Xenopus tropicalis: one gene and its partner. The protein of the gene in region 1 interacts with the protein of each later gene in a pairwise test. Links are inferred from orthologs where the notes say so. Each region holds a gene or a part of one and is shown on either strand. Other genes may lie near its edges. The genes, in order: epn2 and wbp2.

Region 1 (4,504 bases):
CACTCCAACTCACACTCAGCTGCCTACTGCTCACTCCAACTCACGCTCAGCCGCCTACTGCTCACTCCAACTCACGCTCAGCTGCCTACTGCTCACTCCAACTCACGCTCAGCTGCCTACTGCTCACTCCAACTCACACTCAGCTGCCTACTGCTCACTCCAACTCACACTCAGCTGCCTACTGCTCACTCCAACTCACACTCAGCTGCCTACTGCTCACTCCAACTCACACTCAGCTGCCTACTGCTCACTCCAACTCACACTCAGCTGCCTACTGCTCACTCCAACTCACACTCAGCTGCCTACTGCTCACTCCAACTCACACTCAGCTGCCTACTGCTCACTCCAACTTTTATCTTCTCTTGTTCACTTACATTCCAACTCAGCTGCTTACTGATCACTCCATCTCATACCCAGCCCTTTCCTACTCATCTCTCCTATACTCATAGTCTGCTCTCTCTTTCTTACTCCAACTCATACTTGATTACTTACATTGACACTCAGCTGCCTACTGCTCACTTCATCTCATCATACTCCTCAGCTTTCTCCTGCTCATTCCAACACATACCTCTCTTCTACTCATGTTCTGCCCCTCCTGTTTCTTCCATCTCATGCTCAATCCCCTAGTGCTAATTCCAACTTATACTCAGCTCTCCTGCACTCATACTCAGCTCCCTCCTGCACTCATACTCAGCTATCCTGCACTCATACTCAGCTCTCCTGCACTCATACTCAGCTCTCCTGCACTCATACTCAGCTCTCCTGCACTCACACTCAGCTCCCTCCTGCTCGCTTCCATTTACACTCAGCTCCCACAAGTTCACTTACAGCAGTTGAGCAATTCTGAGCTGCCCTCAGGTTCCTCCCTCACAGCCTCCCGGGGCAGCTAAGGGCAGCAGACCAGGGATGCAGGAGGGCCGCGGAAGGTGTAAATTCCTGGCTGCTGTGAGTTTGGATTGCAAGCTCCTGGGACAGAGTACATGCAAAGCCCGAGTTATTACAGTAAAGATGGCCCGTATAACCTTGGGGCCTGAGTAATAGATAAGTCATGGGAGTCTAACCTGCACCTCAGGGATGTCTGAACTGCAACTCTCTAAATCGTTCCAACAATGATTGGGACCTGGAGCTGCAGTTCAACAGCTGGAGGGCTGCTGGTTGGACCGCCCAGATATATATATTTCAGTAGGTAGCAGCAGGGATACAGAATAGGTAGTTTGTTGCTTCTCCCCCCTCCCCCAGGGGGCGCCGGTAATGCTGGGGGCAATATGATAATGTGACACCCACACAGACGGGAGCAGACAGGAGCTCCTTCCCTGGCCCTCTCTCCGCTCCCCCTCCCTCCCTTCCAGGCTCTTGTTTCTCCCCCCTCCCTTCTCTCCTCCCCTCATCCTCCCTCCCTGGCCGCCTCTCATCTCCCTGCCGCCGGGCTGGGGCAGTACAGACACCCGATCCAGTGCGCAGCAGTGGCCCCAGCGCTCCTGTGTGTAACAGTGGCCCCAGCGCTCCTGTGTGTAACAGTGGCCCCAGCGCTCCTGTGTGTAACAGTGGCCCCAGCGCTCCTGTGTGTAACAGTGGCCCCAGCGCTCCTGCGCTCCCCCAGCGGCCCCTCCGCACTGCTCTCACCTTGAGCCGGTAGGGGTGGGAGAGGGAAGACCCCCAGTTCCCTGCTGGAGGCTGGAGCACCCCTGACGCCCTGGGAAGGAGAAAGCTCAGTCCGGGGTAAGTGCCTGTTGCTCTATGGGTCTGGGGAGGTCTGTGTATTGGGGACCCCCTGTAGGACTCTCCTAATCCCCCAGTAACCCCTTCCTGGCAGTGTAGCTGCTTCTGTACAGGGGCCTGTTGCATGAGATGAGTAACACAAGAGGCCTCTTGCTATGGGTGTGGGATCCCTCCCCTGTGCCCCAAATTCATTCCTGGATTCCCATATGTGCCATGGAGCTGCTGCTCCCTCCTGTGGCACCTTGGCACCCATCACCCTCCGGCTGCAGTGCCAGTTCTATTCCCTGTGGGTGCCCTGTCCCTCTGGCTGGGCTCTGTATCAGCTGCTAAGTGCTCTGCAATACTACATGAGACTGGTGTAGCAATGCCAGGACTAATGCCAGGACTAGTGCCAGGGAGAGGGCAAGGCTGGCAGGGGTATGGCCCAGAGGGTACATGGCTAAAGGGGGGTGGGGAATGCAGCAGAACTAAGTAGTGAGTATTAGGGGCATTGTGCATGACCTATTGTCAGGGGCTTTCATCTTGTGCCTCCTGCAAAGGAACAAACTCCCGGCCTCCCACCCCCGGACCCCCCTCCTCCCCTCTTTGCAATTTGGCCTTTTAAATTCACTTCTGTTGTGAGTAGAACCACATGGGACTGTAACAGGACACTTAGTCCCATCAGAAGCTCTGCTGGTGCATTGCTTTACATGTGTGCCCCGCTGTGTGTGAGTCTGTGTGTTAGTGTGTGTGTGCGTGTAAGTGTGTGTAAGTGTGTGTGTGTGTAAGTGTGTATGTGTGTGTGTGTGTAAATGTGTGTGTGTGTAAGTGTGTGTGCGTGTGTAAGTGTGTGTGTAAGTGTGTGCGTTTAAGTGTGTGTGTAAGTGTGTGTGCGTGTAAGTGTGTGTAAGTGTGTGTGCGTGTAAGTGTGTCTAAGTGTAAGTGTGTGTGTAAGTGTGTGTGTGTGTAAGTATGTGCGTGTAAGTGTGTGTGTAATTGTAAGTGTGTAAGTGTGTGTGTAAGTGTGTGTGTGTAAGTGTGTGTGTGTAAGTGTGTGTGTAAGTGTGTGCGTGTAAGTGTGTGTGTGTAAGTGTGTGCGTGTAAGTGTGTGTGTAAGTGTGTGTGCGTGTAAGTGTGTGTGCGTGTAAGTGTGTGTGTAAGTGTGTGTGTGTGTAAGTGTGTGTGTAAGTGTGTGTAAGTGTGTGTGCGTGTAAGTGTGTGTGCGTGTAAGTGTGTGTGTGTGTAAATGTGTGTGTAAGTGTGTGTGTGTAAGTGTGTGTGTGTGTGCGTGTAAGTGTGTGTAAGTGTGTGTGTGTGTAAATGTGTGCATGTAAGTGTGTGTGCGTGTAAGTGTGTGTGTGTGTAAGTGTGTGCATGTAAGTGTGTGTGTGTGCGTGTAAGTGTGTGTGTGTGTAAGTGTGTGCGTGTATGTGTGTGTGTAAGTGTGTGTGTAAATGTGTGTGTGTAAGTGTGTGCGTGTATGTGTGTGTGTAAGTGTGTGTGTAAATGTGTGTGTGAGTGTGTGTCTGCGCCTCCAAACTATTCGCCTGAAGTTTAAAAATACAAAGCGAGCCTCAAAAAAAACCTGCAGAATGACAACTCTTTTTTTGGGAGTGGAGCAAAATTAAAGGGGCAGTTCACCTTTAAATTAACTTTACATATGATGCAGACATTGATATTCTAAGCCAATTTGCAGTTGGTCTATATTTTTATTTTTTTGGGGTTTTGTTCAACAGCTCTCTGGTCTGGTATTTTAGCAGCTGTCTGTTTGCTATGGTGCAGTTTACCCTAGCAACCAGACAGTTGTTTGAACAAGAGTTGGGAATATGAATAGAGGAGGGCCTAAACTGAAAGATAAGTAGTACAAAGTAACAATAAATAAAGCCTCACAGAGCAGTCCTTTTTAGATGCAGGAGTCAGAGGAGAAAGGCAAATAATTAAAAAACTTTAAAAAAAAATACATAATAAAGACCAATTGCAAAGTTGCTAGGAAAGCAATCACATTTTGGGGTATAATATTGACCTTTAGGCCCATGGCACAGGGGACATATTCTCTACCAGTCGATTGAAAAGGGTCCAAATGGCTTCATTCTGAAGAATACTGAGAATACAGGGAATAAGCCCCCTCCCCCCCCACGTGCACCGCGGGCCTTGTTACAAAGCTGTAATTGCATGTAACCTGCTACGCGGGCACCGGCGCCAACTTTATAACAGTTCACAAAAGTTATATTTATAATTGCAAAAGCTGTTTTGCACTTATAAGGAGAAAATTGCTGACACGGTGCATATTTTTTCCATTGTAGACTTTTTATGACTGAGTGGGAACTGTCCAATCCCTGCTTTTCTTCATGGGTGGGGCAGAGGTGTGACCCTGAAGGGCCTGCCTCTTACATGGCCAAGATGAGGGGTCCCCAGACTTTTTTACATGTGAGTCACGTTCGAATGTAAGCATAAAATGATTCCTGGGGTGCCAAATAAGGGCTGTGATTGGCTATTTGGTGTCCCCTATGTGGGCTGGCAGCCTACAGGGGGCTCTGTTTGTCAGTATACTGGGTTTTATGCAAACAAAACTTACCTCCATGCCGGGAATTCAAAAATAAGCCCCTCTTTTAAGGCCACTGGGAGCAACATCCAAGGGGTTGGGGAGCAACATGTTGCTGATGGACCACTGGTTGGAGATCACTGGCCAAGTTAGAAAGTTTGGTGATGTAGGAGAGCTGCAGAGTGCAGTGCTTTCCAAACTGTGGGGTTCAGACTGCCTTTTGGGGTGAGATTTGGTGTAATGTGTATTTGTTTCTCCTTGATA
Region 2 (4,392 bases), on another chromosome or scaffold:
TAAAGCTATCAAACGCCTCCTCCTGTGCTATGTTGTCTGCGGCCTTGCCTGGGAAACTAAGCCTGCCTGATTTACCTTACGACTTTCTGTTGCCGATCCTTCGCTTGCCTGACTCTGATTTTCAATACTACAGTAATTATTCTCTAATTTATTAGGAAATGGGGTTAACACCTAATCATGCATGGAAAAAAAAAAATACCGTCAAATACAGCGACACCGATATCATTTTGAAAAATACTGCAATATAAATTTTTGGCCATACCGCCCAGCTCTAATTTCTACCTCCTTCTGCCGATTCAGCGCTGAAGGCAGATTTTGCTCAGGCGCCTTCTACGGTGCCCAAACAAAATCTTTTAACCGGTCCGATTGGTGAGTCGACAGCCTTCTGTGATATCGGCCGCCTCGCCGAGTTGCCATACACGCACCGAATATCGTATGAAACGAGGTTACGTATATTATCGGTGCGTGTATGGCGGCTTTACCCTGGCAATACCGGACCCACCGTATGTTAGAGAAACGCAACGTAATACTTACCTGTAAGATAACTTTACCTCAACTAATATATACATCGACCAGTTAGAGACCTTCTTGTATTTCCGCCGCTATACTAAGGGGCTGATTTACTAATCCACGAATCCGAATGGGAAAAATTTGGATTGTAAAACGAACATTTTGCGACTTTTTCATATTTTTTGTGACTTTTTCGTAGCCGTTACGACTTGCGCGAATTGTCGCGACTTTCGTATTGAGCGCTCGAAAAAGTCACAAAATACCGATCATTACGAAAAAAAAACACTTTTTGGACGTTCGTGGGTTAGTAAATGTGCCCCTAAGTGTAAGAAGGGGCGAAGCAACTACGCGGGGAGTATGAAATAGCTTAATATCAGCCCTGTGATAACCTCAATTGGGATTGTATGAAATCCTGTTAGGAGAGGTTTGTAGTGAAGTAGTATGTTTAACTAACTAATTGGCCGATATAACTGTACAAAATAAGATTGGATATTCCCCATAAAGTAGAATTTAACACTTACTGCCCTGAATAGCCGCCCAAACACAGCGCTACATTGGTAACAACCGTAATACACGGAGCAGCTCTGCGCCTCAGCGCTAAGTGATCGTTACAATGAAGTATTAGCAACGCAGAAACACAACTACAACATTAGCGCCTCAAGCGGCCATGGTTTATTTTCAGTGATACACGCCCCCTAGCGATCAAGAACACATGCCAGTCATAGATCCCTCAGCCAATGAGCGGCCGGCCCTACAGCAGTGGAACCGCCCAGACTGCGTCTCAAAGTGCGAGAGACTCTTCGAGCACGGTGATTGGCTGTTGCTAGGCTGCGGAGGTGTGACCTTTTTATCTCCGCAATATGGCCCTTAACAGGAACCACCTGGATGGCGGAGGTGCAGTAATTAACAACAGCGAGAGGTAGGACAGCGGCTAAGTAGAGAGACAGTCGCGGGAAGCAGTCAGCGAAACGTTAGACGGACCCCCTGCATGAATATGGGTTCCGGGTATCTGTCATCATATATGGGGCGGAGCTTGGACATGACGAGCAGGGATTTGTGCCAATTATGGAGCTGATACAGATACACCCGCCTCCCTCTCTTTGCCTGTCTGCTGTACTATTTGTATAATATTGTGTGTGTTTTCCTATTCCCAGGCACAATATACTTAATTCTATCAGCATATCTATATATAATATGTCCCACATGTATCCCTTGTGAGATTTACTTACTAAACCCCCTTTATTATTATTTATATTATTAATTTAATATAATATTCTTATGAAGCACTTACATAATCACATGATACAGTGGAGGGGTGTATACAGTGCTGCAATATGTAGGAGATATTTAACGCTCAGACCCGGGGAAGGCAGAGTGACCCTGGAGATTATAGGAGGCCCCATAGGGCACTGACTGATAAGCAGTTTTAATAGCTTTATTATAAAAAATGTCTTATTCCTAAAGTTTATTGGGGCGCTAAAATGATTTTGCTATAGGGCTCAGTTATGCCACTGAAACCGCGTATCATTCAGTGTTCTGTTGGATCTCTTACGGTGTCGGACTGGCCCACAAGGATAGCAGGAAAACTCCCGGTGGGCCCAGATGTCAGTGGGCCCTCCTGCTCCTCAGCATTTGGCCTGCTTCATGGTCATTCCCTGTTTCTGAATGGGAACAAAGAAGAGAAATAGATGGAAGAATAGATGCTAGCATGTAAATAAAAGAGACTAGGAGAATAAAGAGGTTGGGTGAGGAAAGGAGGAAAAATAGTTTGGAAAAGCGGCCTGGGGTCTAAGGTTTTCTGGTGGGCCTCTGGGTTCCCAGTCTGACACTGATCTCTTATACCTTGGCAGTTGCAGGGTCTTCTTCCTCTACATTTACACCCTTGGGCACTCCTCTTATTCCTCAAACAGATAGTCAGTTTGGCCCAATATCATGAAGATGCACAATAACCACCCCCCACACACACCACACCCCCAAGGGGTCCCCATCATCCCAAACCCCCCAGTCTGGTGGAGGGACGTCAGTTCAGGAACACCAGCAGGGATCGAGGGGCCCGCTTGGTTTTTTCCCGGTGTCCAGCTGGCAGTTCGTCTTTGACTACTAAACTGCACTGTTCTCATTGAACTTGCCCTTTATTATCTTCCAGTATCCTTACTTCTTATGAACATGTGGAGGTCACATTTAGTGACATGGACAGCACCCCAGAGGCTTTCAGAGGGACCAAGAAAGGCAGAGTCATTCTGACACCATATCGAGTAAGTCTGCCTCCCTTTTCCTTCACTCATTAGGTGCAGTCTGACTCATTGGCACCATGGAATAAACTGCTAATGTGCAACTAAACTTTCCATTAGGTCAGAGAAGACACTTGGGGGTTATGTAATTAAAAAAACTAAATTTGCCCAGGAACAGTAACCCATAGCAACCAGTCAGCAGGTAGAATATACTTATTGGTTGCTGTGGGTTATTGCTATCAGGCAAACTTAAGGTTTAATCGAGTGGATCATTTCCACCTAAGGTGGGCAAAATTTGGCTAAATCGATTGTTTCGCCACCTGCCCATTTTTATCCAGATATTGGTTGGGTAGGCCTGCTGGGGGGCCCCATGGGCAGATAAGCGCCCGAAACGGTCTGAAGGACTCAAATCGGCAACTTAGATTTGCCAGTGTATGCCAAACTTTAGTGTCATTTATTACATATAGGGCTAGTGCCCTTCTACACCTCCTTAATAAAAGTCACAGAGGGGATCCATGAACATATAAAGGCGGCACAAAATCACTTTAATACAGGCCCTAAAGCTTTGAGGTGTCTAATATTCTCTCATTTTATTCCAAGGGGGTACATTATTCTTTCAGTTATTATTATTTCAGTGAGTCATGTGACACAGATTCTAACCTATTTATAAGCATATCTTTTACGGCTCTTGTGTATTATGCATGTGGGTGAGGCTAATTTTGCATCCACAGGTGATATTTGTGTCCAAAGGAAGGGACCCCATGCAGTCGTTCATGATGCCCTTCTATCTGATGAAGGACTGTGAAATTAAGCAGCCCGTATTTGGAGCCAATTTTATCAAGGGCAACGTGAGAGCTGAGCCTGGAGGTGAGCAGTGTTACTATCTGACGGATACCTATGCGTTCTAGGTCCCACTTCAGCTCCTGGGACACCTGCCTTTATTTTTTGCTAATATAATTTGCTGTAGGTTAAATATATCTTTTAATCTGGAATTCATTTCTTTGCCTGCAGGTGGTTGGGAAGGATCTGCTACATTTAAACTAAGCTTTCCTTCAGGGGGCGCTATAGAGTTCGGCCAGCACATGCTACACGTGGCCTCTCAAGGTGAGCAGGGGGTATCTGAAGTCACAATCTCTTGACATTTAGTCTGGACTCCCAGGACTACCTAGGAGAGCAAATACACATTTGCCACAAGCCCCACACCTCGGGGAAAAGATTTAAAGGGAAATCCCAATGGGTCAGAAATTCTGCCTCAGCCTTTGCAATGCACTTTTTCCTTTACCCATTTTTATAAAATATGGTTTCTACTCGCCCTTGTAGCCTCAAGTGGAGGAGCTCCAAATGTTGCCTACCCATATATGCCCAATGGGGGCTACGTCTTCCCACCTCCTGCAGCCAATGGCATCTACCCACCTCCACCTGCTGGTTATCCTTATCCGCCACCACCCAGCGGTAAGTCATTTTACTCACTATTATAAAATACAGGTGTGAGATCTGTCATCTGGAAACCCATTATCCAGAAAGTTCTTAAATATCTCACATAGACTCCATTTTAAGCAAATAATTCAAATTTTTCAAAATCATTTACTTTTTCTCTGTAATAATAAAACAGTACCTGTACTTGATCCCAACTAAGATATAATTACCCCTT

Evidence for each region.
Region 2: the proteins of epn2 (region 1) and wbp2 interact in binary tests that used the Homo sapiens proteins (3 or more experiments, as listed by UniProt). The link is inferred for Xenopus tropicalis from reciprocal best matches to the Homo sapiens genes EPN2 and WBP2.

Annotation. Positions count from the first base shown.
Region 1 is NC_030685.2:18,479,323-18,483,826, reverse strand, and holds the start of epn2 (epsin-2), read left to right. Parts: upstream 1-1,448; 5' UTR 1,449-1,719; intron 1,720-4,504. UniProt on the Homo sapiens protein: Plays a role in the formation of clathrin-coated invaginations and endocytosis.
Region 2 is NC_030686.2:44,869,320-44,873,711, reverse strand, and holds the start of wbp2 (WW domain-binding protein 2), read left to right. Parts: upstream 1-1,303; 5' UTR 1,304-1,370; coding exon 1,371-1,429; intron 1,430-2,656; coding exon 2,657-2,765; intron 2,766-3,472; coding exon 3,473-3,608; intron 3,609-3,752; coding exon 3,753-3,845; intron 3,846-4,061; coding exon 4,062-4,193; intron 4,194-4,392. UniProt on the Homo sapiens protein: Acts as a transcriptional coactivator of estrogen and progesterone receptors (ESR1 and PGR) upon hormone activation. In presence of estrogen, binds to ESR1-responsive promoters. Synergizes with YAP1 to enhance PGR activity.